3 linked regions of the Arabidopsis thaliana genome follow. The protein of the gene in region 2 interacts with the protein of the main gene of each other region in a pairwise test. Each region holds a gene or a part of one and is shown on either strand. Other genes may lie near its edges.

Region 1 (6,046 bases), on a different chromosome or scaffold from region 2:
ACTAATAAGTAAAAAAATAGACGTAAGAATTTATGATTTACAAAAAAAGAAAAGAATTTATGATTTATTGCTATTAAATAGTGGCTTTTTATTTCGTATTGGATATTCGTTTAAGTTTAGATCGGTTCTATTCCAATTACGAGGTTTTTGGTTTTAGAGATTTAGGTCTCATTCGGCTATTATAATTTTCTTTTATTTGGTTGGTTCAATTTTTTGGGTTTGGGACAATTCTAGTGTTTACGTTGAGGATGGTCTCATGGACAAACAAAATTTAGATGTGGTTCATATTCCTTACTTTTTTTAATCCAAATGTATCTTCATGTAACAAAAAAAAAAAAACCAAAATATTAGAAAATTATAATTGTATAACTATATATACTCAAATCTACACAAAATAGCCAAAACAAAATTTGTGACAAAATATATGCAATAATAGATGAAATATCCGAAAATAGGTATACAGTAATTAATATTTTTTGGGTATATATGTAAGTTGATTGTAGTTCAAACTTAAAATAACATAAAAATAAAGTGGGAAAGGGAGCTGGAGCATCAGAGACGAACAGCTTGGAGACGGTCTCACGCTTATGTCTCATGATCCTTTTTCTGTGGGCAAATTGGACCACATATAAATAAATACATACTAGTATTTGTTTACTTTTTCTTTTCTATATTAAATTGTTTCAAACGATGATACAAATTCAAAGTATTTAGATAGGCTTAGAAAGAGAGATTTAGGATATTTAAGTGGTTAGTTTTGTTTGGTCAGATTATGTTACAAGTAACTTTCTTCTATGTACTGATGATCTACATGAATCTAGGACAACACTTTCCCCAAATCAAGGTAGAAGACAAGGAAGGTTAATTGATTAGTAAAAGTCTATCAAGAGGTATTATCGGTTAAAATTAGATTCGGTTTAGTTTAGGTTAAACAAAAATTGACATTGTTTTTTTTGTTTAGTTTCGTTGATTTTTAATAACTCGTCCATTCTGCATGTCTAAATGCAGAGCCGTTCCTATGTTTTACAAGGCTACAAACGACAAAAAAAGAGGCCATTTTACACATATTCATGAAGGTAATGTACGAATTTTTCAGCATCAAGATTTTATAGTAACTAGTGAATACTAAGATTGTGGAGATTGTGGCTATGTAAGATAACATATAAGCATATATGGTATTTGCCTTTATTTGATAGATTGAAGCAATAGTATTAGTCTGAGAGGACAACGGCGGTATGAGACGACGGCATGCAGAACATGCATTCACATGAGAGATTTCACATACTTTGGGTACAGCATGGAAGTATTTTTCTTCCATATATCGAGACTTTGCAAATGGACCAAAAAATGTCTATCTACGTTTTCTTGTAGTTAACCAACAAAAGTTGTGAGGGTAGGAAGAACTCAGAGGAATCAGGTAATGGAGAAGGAGAAGAAGCCGATGGAGCTGCTATATACAATGTCAAATTTTGACCAATTTTCTTACCAACAAAATGGTCAAACTTTTTATTGAAAAACTTTCGAACAAACTAAGACGAATATATGAAATGATCAGTAATTGGTGAAATTTTTTGGACTCATATAATGAGTAGATAAATGGTCAAAACAAATTGACGACGAATTCAAGTTTTAATCAAAAAATGGTTAGTAAAATATATATATATATATATATATAGATATCTGACATTATAAGTGTTTGTAGTTATTTTAGAATGGTCATAAAGTCGTCAAGATGTTTTCGATAATTAGTAAAACTTTTCTTACGTAAAGTGTTAAATTTTTTACTAACCCATTATTTGACCAATTTATCACATAATCCATGGTCGAAAATGGACAATTTGCTTATGACATGTTGATGTTCTAATTTTTATATTAGTATCGTGTCAACTTACGTGATTGCATTTATAAGCAATTTTGCACTTATATGTGCTTTGATTGTCCTTTGGAGTCGAACATGGCTCCACATTGTTAAAGCTTTCATCGCCTCACCATATATCCCATAACACAAGTTCTTTGATAAAGATCACATACATATACCTTGATCTGTTTTCCTTCTTTGCAGTCCAAAAATTCCTATTAAATTTTCTCTTATGCAACTACTTGATTTTCTTCTATTTACGTTTGTTAATTCATCATCCTCTATTGATTAATGATTTTTCTTGATCGTTGTTACATTGGATTGGATTGTAAGAGACTATGATCATTCTTATGCAGTGGATTATAAAATGAAAATGAATAACAAATCATTACAAATAAATTAGTTTTTAACAATCTGAACTACTTTATATCCAATGGAAACAATTTAAACGTATCCAACCAGTAACACCTCTTTGATATTGAAGGACACAAATCAGAGTACTGTACTGTGTAAGCATATTTCAAATTTGTTACCCAATCTCCAAAAACAATATGTCAAATAAAGTAATACATCTCAGAACTCACTAAAGAACATAATACAAGTCAACTTTCGAAACTCAAATCAATCACTCATCATCATACATTAATTTCATTCCATGTGCTCCTTAGTCCTTACCATTTTCTTTTCACTTTCTTTTCCTTACAATTAAAAAAAAAAACTCATTATAAGTAGCTTCGTTGTATTACGCACAAATCACAACATCAACTAAACCATATATCAAAATTTCGTTAGATTAGAACTTTTAAATTCATTCAAAAGCCATGAAGAAGATCGAGTTAGGGCACCATAGCGAAGCGGCTAAACCGGACTGCATTAAAGCCCTCATTGTCGAATTCATCACTACCTTTCTCTTTGTCTTCGCTGGTGTTGGATCTGCCATGGCCACTGGTAATTTCTCAGGCTTCTATTTCTAGCAAACCAAGTAGCTTAACTTGGTTCTTGACACTACGATGCACTTCAATTTACAACTTAATTTTATTTTATTCATTTTCTTAGACAGTTTAGTCGGAAACACATTGGTGGGACTTTTCGCGGTCGCGGTGGCTCATGCATTCGTTGTGGCGGTAATGATATCTGCGGGCCATATCTCCGGTGGCCACCTCAACCCCGCCGTCACCCTCGGTCTACTCTTGGGTGGCCACATCAGCGTATTCCGTGCATTCCTTTATTGGATTGATCAATTGTTGGCCTCCTCCGCAGCATGCTTCCTCCTCAGTTACCTCACCGGAGGAATGGTACAAAAATCTAATTTAATATTACAAAAAAACATATTATTGCTAATCAACAACTTATAACGCTACTAAAAGTAATGCCAAGGACGGAATTATAAATTATGATCCAATGACACACATTTTCACATGATTCTATTGGTTCAATAATTAAGTCAACTATCAATTGCTTACCTACATTTTTTTTGTTTCGTATATAATTTTTTCTGATTCAATAATACACAAGTTCTATTATGTACTAGTACAGATTTTTTTATTTATTGATTAATCTACAATAATTTTTTTTCTAATCGAATTGGTAAAACTTTTAATTACATACACTTCAAACAATGATTTGATTCCTGCCTGTTCGATATAACACGTAGTTTGACATTTTACAATTATGTTTTGTGATTAGGGAACTCCGGTTCACACATTGGCAAGTGGAGTGAGTTACACGCAAGGGATCATATGGGAGATCATCTTAACATTTTCACTTCTCTTCACTGTCTACGCCACTATTGTGGATCCGAAGAAAGGATCCCTTGATGGGTTCGGCCCACTTCTCACAGGATTTGTCGTTGGAGCCAACATCCTTGCAGGAGGTGCCTTTTCTGGCGCCTCCATGAACCCCGCCCGGTCTTTTGGTCCCGCTTTGGTCTCTGGAAACTGGACTGACCATTGGGTATATTGGGTTGGACCGTTGATCGGTGGTGGACTCGCCGGTTTCATCTACGAGAATGTCCTCATTGACCGTCCACATGTCCCAGTCGCTGACGACGAGCAACCATTGTTGAATTAAATGTGTTTGAAACTGTGCTATGCACGTCACATACCCTATTAGCTAATCATTAATGTATTATTGATCCCCAAAAATCGTTTCAATAATGTATTATTGATCCCAAAAATTGTTTCTTTCTGTCCTCTAAGATGTATCTCTTTTAAGTTGGAACCTTAATCTATTAATTCCAATTATTGAGAATAAAACTTTCTGTTTACCACTTTTTCATTTTTGAGAATTTGTGAAGTTAAAAAAATATACATATTATGAGAATGTTTTAAACGGGAAATTTTCTTCTCTCGCTTCTATTCGTCTAAAATTTAGGGCCGGTTTTGGTGGTGTGTAGGTGGCCGACGAACTTATGTAATTTGGCGCGTGCAGTCTGAAACATACATGTTTCCTTCGTTGATGTCTGATCAGCCAAACTTGTTTCATTTCTGTACTTTGAGAATTTTTCTACGTTCGAAGTTTCGAATGTTTACAGGAAATCACACTTCTTGATGGTTTACTAATAACGTCTTGTTTTTTATTTTCGACTGAAACCACATTTTTCTATCACACAAACAATGTTGCATTATTGTATACAGAAATCGTTTATGGCTTTAACCGTTTAATGTTACGTTTAATTTTTTAACCTATATTATTTGAGTTATCTTCTATATGTAAATTTAGTCGAGTGTTTTAAAATGGATTAAACAAAAAATTAAGGTTTTTTATCGTTAAATTTTCTTCTTTTTTTTAATATCTAGAAATTCAAATTTGAAGGTTCTACATCTATAAAGACGGGATTCACACCAGATTAAATTCTATTGTCAAATATTAAATCACAGTCATTGGAATTTGACACCCTTTATATAATTAATTCGTAAGCAATACCCCCACACTACTTCTCGTATGCGAGCCCACACAGACAGTACTATAGTATATATAATGTCATCGGAAAGAAGAAACATAAAATGACTAGTTCATAAAACAAAAACTTTCTTATATTACACCGACACTAAAAAAATGTCTCATTCCTTCTTGCCTAGGAACTAATTGTTGCACACTTCGGTACACAATTTTTTGAGCACTTCGACATCAAAACGAGAGAGAAAAGAATGGTGGATTCTCATGGCTCCGACACGGAATGTTCCTCCAAGAAGAAAAAGGAGAAAACGAAAGAAAAGGGGGTATATCGTGGGGCTCGCATGAGGAGCTGGGGGAAATGGGTCTCGGAGATTCGGGAGCCCCGTAAGAAATCAAGAATCTGGCTCGGGACTTTCCCCACGGCGGAGATGGCAGCGCGTGCCCATGATGTTGCGGCATTGAGTATCAAAGGAAGTTCCGCAATCCTTAACTTCCCTGAGCTCGCGGATTTTCTGCCAAGACCAGTCTCGCTCAGCCAACAGGATATCCAGGCCGCAGCCGCCGAAGCCGCTCTTATGGATTTCAAAACTGTACCATTCCATCTTCAGGATGACTCAACGCCGTTGCAAACTAGGTGTGATACTGAGAAGATCGAAAAGTGGTCATCCTCATCGTCCTCAGCCTCATCCTCATCCTCATCTTCGTCCTCGTCCTCATCATCTATGCTTTCGGGGGAGCTAGGAGATATTGTGGAGTTGCCGAGTCTTGAAAACAATGTAAAATACGATTGTGCGCTGTATGACTCGTTGGAGGGGCTGGTGTCGATGCCCCCATGGTTAGATGCTACCGAAAATGATTTTAGGTATGGAGATGATTCGGTACTGTTGGACCCATGTCTCAAAGAAAGCTTTTTGTGGAATTATGAGTAAGGTTTTTTTTTGGAAAGAAATGTGGTTTTTTGTTTCCTCCTCTCTTTTATACTTTCGATCTTTTTTTCTAAGCATATATATCTTCTACATATGTAATACTTTTCCATTAGTAAACAATGATTCGGTTTCGGGTACGTAGATGATTTGTGTAAATATATAACATCATAAGCTTGATCTATAGTTACGATAATTCATTACAATAACATATATATTTTGCCTTGCAATCTGCACCATAATGAAGGAAAATTTACTAGTCAATTTGCATATTTGGCATGGTGTAATAAATCCTTTAGAATATTACAAACATATAGACCTTGATGATTGGTAAATACATACGGAGGAAAAGTGTGTACCAAAAAGA
Region 2 (5,340 bases):
CGTATCTACTGATGGTTAAAAATGTGATTTTACCCTTTCTTTAATAATCCTTTTGCTTTGTTTTTGTTTTGTTTTGTAACATCAGGCACTCTACTGATCGTGAAGTTGCACTTATGATGCTATTGGCTTACTTATCATATATGTTGGCAGAGGTAATAAGAAAAATTTGAAACGTTTTGGTTACATTTTTTCCAACAGAAAATGAAAACATGATACATATATCCTTTGCAGCTATTCCACTTGAGCTCTATCTTGACTGTGTTCTTCTGCGGGATTGTTATGTCTCACTATACATGGCACAATGTTACAGATAAATCCAAGGTCACTACAAAGTAAGTTTCTTTTTCTTCTCCCAATAATTAGAAAATAACTCTACTAATTTGTTGTGCTTGATTGACTAAACTGTATACGTTTTCTTGGCGTAGACATACTTTTGCTGCAATGTCATTTCTAGCTGAGATTTTTATCTTCCTTTACGTTGGAATGGACGCTCTCGATATCGAGAAATGGGACGTTGTACGCAACAGGTGAGACTTAGAGTGTGATAATACATCAATATCTTTTGTTTCATTTTCATAATATTGTTTAACAATTTTGGCAGTCCTGGTCAGTCGATTGGAGTTAGTTCAATACTTCTTGGGCTTATTCTTCTGGGTCGCGCCGCGTTCGTGTTTCCACTTTCCTTCTTGTCCAATTTAACAAAGTCTTCACCGGATGAGAAAATAGACTTAAAGAAACAAGTAACCATTTGGTGGGCTGGTCTGATGCGTGGTGCAGTGTCAATGGCTCTTGCTTATAACCAGGTTTTGATCCGTGAACTACAAGAAACAAAGATAAAAAAGTGATCTTTGGGTTTTAATAAGTTCCCATGACTTAATCTCTTCTCTCTGTTACATCATAGTTCACAACTTCAGGACACACCAAGGTTCTTGGGAACGCTATCATGATCACCAGTACCATCACTGTTGTTCTTTTCAGTACTGTGGTACGTTTCAACACTTTGTTCAAACCGGTTTGCTTCCTACTGAAGTCAAATCGGGTTTAGCCTATCCAACACGTAACCTAATCTCTAACCTTTTTTGCAGGTGTTTGGATTGCTAACCAAACCGTTAGTCAAACATTTGCAGCCTTCATCAAAACAGTCCTCCACGACCGCGCTGCAGATCACACTAAGATCTTCTTTCCACGATCCGATCCTCCATGAGCCGTTGCTCAGTACCCAAGGCCAGTCAGAATACGACCCTGAACAACATGTTAGCTTCAGAATGTTCTGGAAATCTCCGTCCAGGGCCATTCATCATTACTGGAGGAAATTCGATAACGCAGTTATGCGTCGCATATTTGGTGGCCGAGGCGTTTCACCAGTAGTTCCAGGTTCACCCATTGAGAATAGTGTTCCGCAATGGAGTGAAGAAGTAGAAAACAAGGAACAAAACGGCGAACCTTGATGACCATAATGACATGAGTAAGATCTTTGACTTGTTGATCGCGTTTTTTGGCGTTGTTGGACGCAGACGCAACATGGGCCGGCTCTAATTTTTTGCCTCCAGTTTTGGTATAATGGTTTTGGATGTGAGTTCTTATTTGCCCGGTGTGATTTTTTGGTTTGTGGTGTGATTTTGTAAAGCCGGTCCGTTTTTCGTTGTTTGAGTTTGTGGTTTTGTTGAAAAATTGTAACTGTCCATGTAAATAGGGACTGATATAGGGGTGACTTGAGTACACCTAGCTCATATGCAGACGTTAGCGTCTGCGTTTGGAGATTCGAGTTTGCGTTGGTGGGACGTGAGCAGATTTTTTAATCTAAAGTTTGTGTACACTTTCTTGTACTTCTTATACAAAACAAAGGGACACGAATCTTTCTAATGTTCATAATTTATTACTGGGTTTTGCAAGAAACTTGTTGACAATATACAAATAAACTGATAACTTATATATAAATATAACTTTTGAGAAATCTAATCTTATTTTTATGCTTGCACGTATATAAGGACAAAGTGAGTGGGTATCAATCAACCTTATAGTAACATATACAATCTTTCACGCATAAAACCCTATAATGTGAAAACAAGAAACGTCCTTTACATATTTCTTCTCACCTAGATATTATTAATTTTAATATTGAGACTTTGAAACCCCAGAAATAAGATAAAGTGTGGGACAAGAAAAGAAGGCACCTTTTTTTGTTGTTGCTTTTAGCCGTGAGGCCAGCATATGCAGTAACTCACATGCATGCGCCTCTAACCTTGTGGCATTTTAGGAATTATGCAATAATGCACTATACTTAAATACGTTAATTCACAAAGTAATACATTCATTCAGTTCATAAACACGTCTCAAGATTAAGACAAAAATAATCATAAAAAACTGGTGTTTTACATAAACTTATGTCGAAATTAATTAGTAGTCTACATATAATTACTCAAGTGTTATTTGCATGTAAACAGTACAAATTTTTGGAACGTTTGATTTTGATACTACTATAAACTGCAGTATACTGTAAAGCATGCATATGACGTCACTTTAATTTGAAACGTAATTTCAACTTTTTCAAAAGGTTCTTTAGCTTAGCGATAAAAAAAAAAAAAAAAGTTAGTGTATAGTAAACGAACAAATGAAATGAAAAGAAGAGAAAAGTATAAGTCCTCAAAGTGTATTGAATCACTTAACGGTAAATTAGTTTTTATTTTTATTTTTATCCAGAGTTCTTAAGTTAATTATGCATCAATTATGTGGTTCTGACGTAATATATTACTTGCGTTTTTCATCTAAACCAATCTAAAACTGTAACAAAATGTTAAGTGGAGAACAATAAAAAATACAAATAGTAAAAAAAAATTGAAAATCAAACTAAATCTAATTTTATTCGTTATTTTTAGGGGACAAATAAACTCATGAAAATAATGACGTACGTGGTCTAAAATATATGAATGACCTATATAGCTGAAACGGCAAGAAGCCGGAGCGAGAAACAATAGACGGCGGCGAAGACAAAGTAGATGAAAACTCCGGGAGCTTGAGAAGACAGAGAAGCAAGAGATGAAGCCGGAGGAGAAGCCGATGGAGCGAAGGCGGGATCAGGATCTGCGGAAACGTCGTCGTTTTCTGGTTCAGGAAGTGTTGAAGAAGAAGGGATGGTTTGAGTGGAGGAGACGGCGGGTGAAGGGAGGAGAGGAGCGATCTCCGGTGAGATCTTTTCTTCAGAGGGAGAGATTGTTTGCGAAGATGGGATTGTATTTGTCGTCGGCGAAGAGAGAGAAAGTGAGGAGAGAAAGATGAAGGTGATGAGTGTTAGCAATATAGATGAAGCCATCTTTTTTGGTTACTGTAATGATGAACAAATCAAAGCTGAGTTGTTTTTTTCCTTAACTGATGAGAGCGCATTTTGTGTTGTAATAATGATACTGTCTCTATAAAAGAAAACTTTTAGCTCTAATAGTAAAATATTATAAATTGATTTTAAATGGAATTTGTCTCACCTTTTTCCAAAAAGATTATTATTTATCAATTTAAAGGATGTGTTCGGTGGAAAAGAAAATATATTTGCTGAATTCTTGAAGATGGGCGTAGATCGAGTTTTCACTTTTTAGTAGAAGCTCTTATATATTGCACATATTTTCGAATAAACATGTGCTTTACTTTTTGCTGAAAAATATTATGTTAATGCAAATTATACATATTGCTAAGTACGAGTAAAGGCATCTCCATCCATGAGAAACCTACAAAGTTTCTAAAACAAAAAAAATATTAATATTATATTATAATTTAATTATTTGATTAAAAAAGTAATTTTGTTAAAAAATTGAATCAATAGTGAGATGAGAATTGTCATGATGGGTTGTAGAGAATATCTCAAAATTTTTCAAGTGAGAAACTTTCTACATTTTCTCTCCTTCATTTTCATTATTTTTATTTTTTTAATTGTGAAAAACTCTTATGAAATACCTTCAATGGAGATGGTCTAATTACGTTTGTTGTTGCCTCGTTGGATGTTCAAATAAAAAGCACATTTTATATTGGGTTGTTCCTAAACAAATATTTTGTTGTCTTTTGTACTAAAGTTTATTGGCGAGTTAAGAAAAGCTTTGTGGTGTGTGGGAATTATTATTATTATTTATTATTTATTGTTCTTTAGTTTGCTATGCAATTCGAGCCCACTAAAGAGGCTTCCTATGGGCCCAAAAAACGCAGCCCACTATTGTAGTGCAAAACGTGCTGAGTTTTCTACATTGCATGCCCAACAATGGCCACCAGTGTAGTTAAAGACTCAAGAACTTGCTGACCTCTATTTGTTTGACTTTCTTTTTTGTGTGAACAAAATCACATATTGTTGATGTCATTTGTTCTGCTATAATTCTTAACTTCAGATTACAGATAACGAATTTTCTCTTGATGATTTAAACAAACATATATAATTGTCAATATCAGAAAATGAAAAGGAGATATAAATAATTTTTTTTTGCGCCTAATCGAAACTTCACCTACCATTTTTTAGCGTATAAAAACGTTAAAAATACCAAAATTTAGAAATCCAATAAAAGTTGTGAAAAAAAGCCGCAAAGGGTCGTTGTTGTTTGTCGCCTCTCAATGGCAGCTTCTTCAACTAATGCTCGTCTCACCAACCCTCCTCGTCTACTCTCCAAACCCCGACTTTCACCTACCTCCGTCGCCAATCTCCGTTTTCCAGCCGCCGATTTCTCCACTCGCTTCTTTGCCGATTCTTCGTCCCCGCGGCTAAGGAGTGTACCGTTTCCGGTGGTATTTTCCGATCAAAGGCGCCGGCGAAGCATGGAACCTAGCAATGTCTATGTTAGTGATTCTTCCTTTAGTTCAGTTTTCTTTTGTTGTTTTCTGTTCCGTTTTTATTGGAGAAGGATAGGTAATGATGAATTTGCAGATTTATCGCTTCAAATAAATTTGGTATTAGTTTTGGATGAAGACTTTGATGTTTCGTGTACAACATTGGTTTAGCTATTTAGAATCGATCTTCAGAATTTTTGTTTAGTTCTGAGAAGTAGTTGGATTTTTAATTGATTGTGGAATTTATCCTGTTTTGTGATCTCAGGTGGCTTCAAATTCCACGGAAATGGAGATCGGAAGTCATGATATCGTGAAGAATCCGAGCTTGATCTGTGCTCCAGTGATGGCGGATTCAATAGACAAGATGGTGATTGAAACGAGTAAAGCCCATGAATTGGGTGCAGACTTGGTTGAAATTCGATTAGATTGGCTAAAGGACTTCAATCCTCTTGAGGATCTAAAAACCATTATTAAGAAATCTCCTCTACCCACTTTATTCACCTACAGGTTTGTGTGTTCAAGCTTGAGACTTTTTAAATGTTT
Region 3 (6,759 bases), on a different chromosome or scaffold from region 2:
GTTCACATCAAAGAGTGTTGTTGATGCGGCTAATACGTTTGAGGACTTTATGCTAAAAGTAAATCATTCTCCATTCTCCATGGTTGAAAACTTGTTCTTGCGTCTTCTCTTCTCTGGAAAAACGAATGTTTCCAGAATAAAAACACGAGATGTGAAGCAGAAGAGTACAACAAGTAGGTGCTGTAGCATATATTGAGTGACGAAGCAATGAAGGAACAGATTATTGTGAGCCACAAAATAAATTAAGAAATAATACAGTAGTGAAGTCGTTTCAAACAGAGGATTTATTCCACCTGCACTTGGAGGAGTTTCCTCTTTTCATAAGTCTAAAGAACAAATTTGCCTTTAAGAATAATTCTTCTGTGTTTTTTTTTAATATGGAATTTGAATGAAAGATTAGTGTGTGGATATGGATAATTAATTATATTTAAAAAATTATGTAATATTGATATGTTTGTAGTTTGGTTTCCCTTTCTATTGGCTGCTATTTACTTCATTCTTTCAATGATTGACGTTGAACTTCTTTTCGACCAAAATCAAAACATCCTCTCCTTTATGTATAACTTTGTTTCTTCTGATTTGATTTGTAACATTAACATGATTACATTTATATATAGTATATAATACGTAACCATGCATTTAACTTGGTACTTGGATTCGTTTATGAAAGATTGAAAGGAAAACGAAAGTTATATGATCACTACTCTTGAATTCGAACTCTAATTTAGGAAGAACAGTATAAACCCCAACATATAGTGTTTTCTGGTCTGAAAAACTTTGATTGTTTTGTTTTTGTGGTTTGGGAAAAAACATCAACATAATATTCATGACGTCAAAAGTACAAAACAAATAAGATGGATTTTGAATAAACTTTCCAATCGTGCTAGCTAGCTATTTCTGACATAATTCAAGAAGAATAATGAAAATATGTCACACAAAAACAAAAGTATTAACGATGAATGAATGAATGAGAGAAGACAAAAACCTTTTTGATATTAAAAAGACTGTAATATATATCAACACATCAGGAGAGAAATTTGAAAGCATATTATAGATTTGTAATCATCAAGTGATAAATAGAACTTATTCTACTAGCATTATTATTCATATTTATATATGATCCCTCAATTTCACCAGTGAATAAGCATCCTCCACGTTTTCACAGATTTCTAATCCACCGATTTTAACTTTTGTTCCATCAGTCAAATCCCCCTTTTTGTTTTTGTTTTAGTCCGACTATATATATTTGTTTGCTTATGTTTTTCTATTTGTTCCAAATCTTTGGTAAAGATAGGTGTTTCCATAAAATGTTATTATCAAATCAAATGATAAATAAATGCTTTCCAGATCATTTTATGCCTCTGCATGATTCTCTAGTAATTAGATCAAATCAATTTTCTCATCATGAATATGTGTAATAGAAAAGACTTTGTGAATGGACAATATATATGGTTACAAAACAAAAATATACCATAGAATTAAAAAGTGCTAATATGATGATATTGCACCTAGCAATATGTGTTGTTGTGATTATATTAGAGTCCAGAAGGCAAATAATAAATTTGTTGTCTAGCAAGAAAGGACAAGAGCACGAGGTACAAATTTTTCTGTAAACTTTTGTAGTTCTTGAATGGCTTCCTCAATCCTCACGATGATAGATTTTTCGCTAGCTCGTAGTATAATATGGTTCTTTGATATTTTAACAAAGAAGAAAGACATGGCCATATGATTTTTTATCGAACGAAACATAAAAAACAACGTAAAACATGGTTTAAGATAAAAGTAAGTAAGTTATTTGTAGACTTCTCTATCTATCTATATATTAACATATTCTAAAACCCATGACATGTTATTTCTTAAACCATGAATATATTGAAACATTCAAATCATCACTAGGTATAAGTAAGTGAAATTCATTTTCTTATAAGAAATCTCTCTTTGTCGGTTATGAAATTGGTTGCTATCGCCAGGTCGTAGGGCACAAATACCCATTTCGGCATATATACAAACTATTCCATGCACTTTACTTATATTACATGCACTAGCATAGTTCTGCTCCCATTTTATGAAAGTGGTTAATAAATATAAATATTAAGATTAAGAAAAAAACGATTAAGCAAATATTTCGAATAAATTATTGAAAATATATTATTTGGTTAGTCTCATGTGTTGTGGCGACGAGTTACGACAGCCAAAAACATATATTGGTCGAGACGATCTTCTAGTTATGGTGCTAAAGCTGCAACCTCATTCTTTATTCTGCGACATTACCATTAATTAATATAGTCAAATATTGAAAGAAATGTTTACGTCATACACAAACACTACACTCACTATTTACAGGAAACAATTGGAATAGAATCATATGCCACGGCACGGTCTGGTCAATTATATTGATAACGATAACTCTCTTGTTTCTCAATTAAACTAATGGCTAAAAATATGAGGTTGATTTTAATTTTTTTATCTAAATATTTAGACTCAAATTTCAATTGTATCTATTCTATAGGAATTTAGCCAAATTATTTATAAATATTCGTAATCATATTCCGAAGAAAAAAATATTATTGTTTAATTTATATCTAAACTTTACTTTTGTTTGAATATTACTCATGGATATCTCATTACCTATCTTTTTTCTACAACAAATAAAACAATTAAAAATTTATCTATAAATATGAACATGTTGGTTTCTCTATCGTAACACATTTACTATCTACGAACGAATTTAGAAGCTTTGTTTTCTTTCCTTTCGTTTGCTACTACTGCAACATTTCTATTTTTCTGATAAAACCATGATAAATTGTGGAGATGTTTACAAGGTAATCGAAGCAATGGTTCCACTCTATGTAGCCTTAATCTTAGGCTATGGCTCTGTGAAATGGTGGCACATCTTCACGCGTGATCAATGTGATGCTATAAACCGTCTCGTTTGCTATTTCACCCTGCCGCTCTTCACCATTGAGTTCACGGCCCATGTCGACCCGTTCAACATGAATTACCGGTTCATCGCGGCCGATGTCCTCTCTAAGGTCATCATAGTCACGGTCTTAGCGTTGTGGGCCAAATATAGCAACAAAGGAAGCTATTGTTGGTCCATTACTAGTTTCTCTCTATGCACTCTTACTAACTCTCTTGTCGTTGGTGTGCCATTGGCTAAGGCAATGTACGGACAACAGGCTGTTGATCTGGTGGTTCAATCCTCGGTATTTCAAGCCATCGTGTGGCTCACACTCTTGTTGTTTGTCTTAGAGTTTAGAAAAGCCGGATTTAGTAGTAATAATATCAGCGACGTACAAGTAGACAACATCAATATCGAAAGTGGAAAAAGAGAAACTGTGGTTGTGGGAGAGAAGTCGTTCCTTGAGGTCATGTCCCTCGTTTGGTTGAAGCTTGCAACGAATCCAAATTGCTATTCTTGCATCCTTGGGATCGCATGGGCTTTTATTTCTAACAGGTAAAAATGAATCTTTAATTAAACTTTATATTGGTACCTATAAGATGTTTAACAAAGTGTTAATTAGTATGTGTGATCAGGGACTCAGGAGACTACATTAATTCCACCCCTTACTCCGAGGCAACCGTTAAAATTGCCTAAAAATATCTATAGTTTGACGTTTAAACCATCTAAATTATTACTTTTCTGTGTAGCGCCTGATGATCTATAGTTAAAATTTTGACAGAAATATAGGTCACGATTGTTTCTTTGCATTTGCGTTTATATTTCCATGTGACAAATGACTAGGACATTTTTAACATGGTAACATAATTTGCAAACGTGACATGTACATGCAAATAAACTAATCATGATTTTAATCTGAATATTAGAGTCTTTGACCAAATTTCTATTTTATTTGTTTTAGTGTGAATTTTGGGTTTAGGGTTTTGATTAGTGTTTTGTATACTCTTGGCTAACAAATAAAGACTTAAGTCTAATAATTGATGGAAATTAATTGGAAATATAGATGGCATCTGGAGCTGCCGGGCATATTAGAGGGTTCGATTCTTATAATGTCAAAAGCAGGAACAGGAACGGCCATGTTCAATATGGGTACGTTTATTTATGTCCATGCAAGTATCTTTCTATACGTAAAGATTACGTATCAGTATTGAGATAACAGTGAATACATGCATATATACGCAGGAATATTCATGGCACTTCAAGAAAAGTTGATAGTATGTGGAACAAGCTTGACTGTGATGGGAATGGTATTGAAGTTTATTGCCGGACCGGCGGCCATGGCCATCGGCTCTATTGTCCTTGGCCTCCACGGTGATGTCCTCCGCGTAGCCATCATTCAGGTCATAAATTCTACTTTATCCTTTTGTACCCTAATTCTACTGAAGTTTGTATATAAAAAAAAAAGTAGATCATTTTCCATTCATTCATCCACTAAGATACTAACTTTATATTTTTCAGTTTAATATATCATTAATATTTATATGAAATTTACAGGCTGCTTTGCCACAATCGATTACTTCGTTCATTTTTGCTAAGGAATATGGATTACATGCAGATGTTCTAAGCACAGCGTAAGTCCAAATTTTAAAAATTCAGTCTATTTAAGAAGAAAATGGTAATATGAAATTAAATTAAAATTTTGATAAATGTAGGGTGATATTTGGGATGTTGGTCTCTCTACCTGTGCTCGTCGCCTACTACGCAGCTCTGGAGTTTATTCATTGATTAAACTAATAAATTCGATTATATCATCAATATTACCCTTTGTTCATCTTTCACAAGTTTTTTTTTTTGTTATCTCTTTTACACTTTCCTCCTAAAGGAGATTTTGAAGTATATTCGAGATATGAAAACCATTAACTGAATGAATTAACCTAGTTTATGCTTAATTTTATACTTTCTTAAGCTCTCTTTATTTTCGTAGTATGCATAATTTAGTATTTTGTTCACATATACGTATCAAGAAAAGATAAAAACTCTATAAATGAAAATACATCATGTTCGGATCTAAAATTGTTTTAATACGTACACTAAATATTATAAGCCCTTTTTTTGTTAACAAAAAAAAAAAAAGAATAAATGAAACGAAATTCAGGTTAGAGATCAAATAAAATCTTGTTATTATTTGATTCATGATCATACATACTAACCAAATCAGGATTTATGAAATAAATTATTCTTTCTCCTCAACCGAATCAATATGAAGATAAAAGGGGTAATTTAGTCTTTTCGAATTCGTTTTTCTTACCGAATCTCTTTAGTTTTTTTTCTTTCTTTTGTGTGGAGGAGAGAAGAGAACGCAACACTTTCTTCCCAATCTCTCTCTGCTTTCTCTCTCTAGACGTGATCTCTAATTCTCTAATGTCTTCCTGCATTGCCATTTCCTCTAACCCCTCCACAATCGGAGGAAGACGATTCCTGGGAGCAAGAGAAACGATGGGACTTCCCATCGGAAAATCTCTTAGAGTGAGAGAATTATGGTGTGTTCTTAATGCTTAATAATCACCGACACAGCCATTGTTCTTCATCATCTCCATGGATTTTGATTCCATTTCTCGGGAAAGCACTTTTCTTTCCCCATTGCTTAACCAAAGTACCATCCTTTATTCCCTCTCTGATGTTCTGATTCAATCTTAAAAACCTCAGCTTGAATTTTTGTTGTGGGGTTTTGGTTGGGTTTGTGAATTTTAGATGCAATGTGGCAAATGAACTTGGGATCAGATGATACAATGGGTGTTGATGGGTCTTATCCGGAACGTCACGGAGAGCCAGATTGTGCTTATTATATAAGGACTGGACTTTGTAGGTTTGGTTCAACTTGCCGATTCAATCATCCTCACGACCGGAAACTGGTACTGACTCTGTTTCTGTGTTTGTTCTTTCCTCTGTATCTTGTTGACTCAAAGTTTGTAGCTTTGAGGGTCTGTGTGTGTGTGTGATTACAAGCTGATGAATAGTCTCGTATCCAATTTCTAGGTTATAGCAACTGCAAGGATTAAAGGAGAATACCCTGAAAGAATTGGTCAGCCTGAATGTGAGGTAGCTCTGTTTCGAATTACTATCATAGTAATGTCTTCTAGTTATCACATTGTCTCAAAGCTTCTATTTTTGTTGTTGTGTCTGTGCAGTTTTATCTGAAGACAGGGACCTGCAAATTCGGAGTGACTTGCAAGTTTCATCATCCTAGGAACAAAGCTGGTATTGATGGAAGTGTATCAGTTAATGTCTTAAGCTATCCTCTACGTCCGGTATGTATACATTTCAACTTTCTAATCTCACCACTGCTTTGTAAAATTTTGCCTCTCTCATGAGTTCTGTTTGCAGAACGAAGATGATTGCTCTTACTTTTTGAGAATTGGACAATGTAAATTTGGGGGAACTTGTAAATTCAATCACCCTCAGACTCAATCAACCAACTTGATGGTTTCTGTTCGTGGCTCTCCGGTTTACTCTGCTCTTCAATCTCTAACTGGTCAACCGTCTTATTCTTGGTCGAGAACATCTTTTGTTGCAAACCCTCCTCGTTTGCAAGATCCTTCTGGTTTCGCTTCAGGATCTCAAGGAGGTCTCTTCTCATCCGGGTTTCATTCGGGAAATTCTGTTCCGCTCGGGTTCTATGCATTACCTAGAGAGAATGTATTCCCGGAAAGACCAGGCCAACCTGAATGCCAATTCTACATGAAGACAGGAGATTGCAAATTTGGAACAGTCTGCAAATTTCATCATCCTAGAGACAGGCAAACCCCTCCTCCTGATTGTGTCTTAAGCTCGGTTGGCCTTCCTTTACGCCCGGTAAG

The links. Proteins that work in one complex are often made in the same cells at the same time.
Region 1: the proteins of AGP27 (region 2) and TIP4;1 interact in a protein complementation assay, tested with the Arabidopsis thaliana proteins (one large-scale study listed by BioGRID).
Region 3: the proteins of AGP27 (region 2) and PIN5 interact in a protein complementation assay, tested with the Arabidopsis thaliana proteins (one large-scale study listed by BioGRID).

The regions. Positions count from the first base shown.
Region 1 is NC_003071.7:11,009,979-11,016,024, forward strand, and holds TIP4;1 (tonoplast intrinsic protein 4;1), read left to right. Parts: upstream 1-2,520; 5' UTR 2,521-2,679; coding exon 2,680-2,806; intron 2,807-2,914; coding exon 2,915-3,153; intron 3,154-3,544; coding exon 3,545-3,928; 3' UTR 3,929-4,193; downstream 4,194-6,046. Other genes in the region: ESE2 (Integrase-type DNA-binding superfamily protein), read left to right, coding at 5,008-5,685. UniProt on the Arabidopsis thaliana protein: Aquaporins facilitate the transport of water and small neutral solutes across cell membranes. Transports urea in yeast cells in a pH-independent manner.
Region 2 is NC_003074.8:1,926,946-1,932,285, reverse strand, and holds AGP27 (arabinogalactan protein 27), read right to left. Parts: upstream 3,419-5,340; 5' UTR 3,311-3,418; coding exon 2,933-3,310; 3' UTR 2,602-2,932; downstream 1-2,601. Other genes in the region: NHX4 (sodium hydrogen exchanger 4), read left to right, coding at 86-152, 232-332, 426-527, 602-803, 902-985, 1,086-1,448; MEE32 (dehydroquinate dehydratase, putative / shikimate dehydrogenase), read left to right, coding at 4,585-4,806, 5,063-5,304. UniProt on the Arabidopsis thaliana protein: Proteoglycan that seems to be implicated in diverse developmental roles such as differentiation, cell-cell recognition, embryogenesis and programmed cell death.
Region 3 is NC_003076.8:5,397,940-5,404,698, forward strand, and holds PIN5 (Auxin efflux carrier family protein), read left to right. Parts: upstream 1-2,700; 5' UTR 2,701-2,795; coding exon 2,796-3,457; intron 3,458-3,965; coding exon 3,966-4,051; intron 4,052-4,144; coding exon 4,145-4,302; intron 4,303-4,456; coding exon 4,457-4,533; coding exon of another isoform or gene 4,534-4,537; exon of another isoform or gene 4,538-4,614; coding exon 4,615-4,687; 3' UTR 4,688-4,906; downstream 4,907-6,759. Other genes in the region: ZFN3 (zinc finger nuclease 3), read left to right, coding at 5,498-5,555, 5,654-5,814, 5,939-6,001, 6,091-6,210, 6,287-6,754. UniProt on the Arabidopsis thaliana protein: Auxin transporter regulating intracellular auxin homeostasis and metabolism. Mediates the auxin transport from the cytosol into the lumen of the endoplasmic reticulum. May also act as an auxin efflux carrier when located to the cell membrane.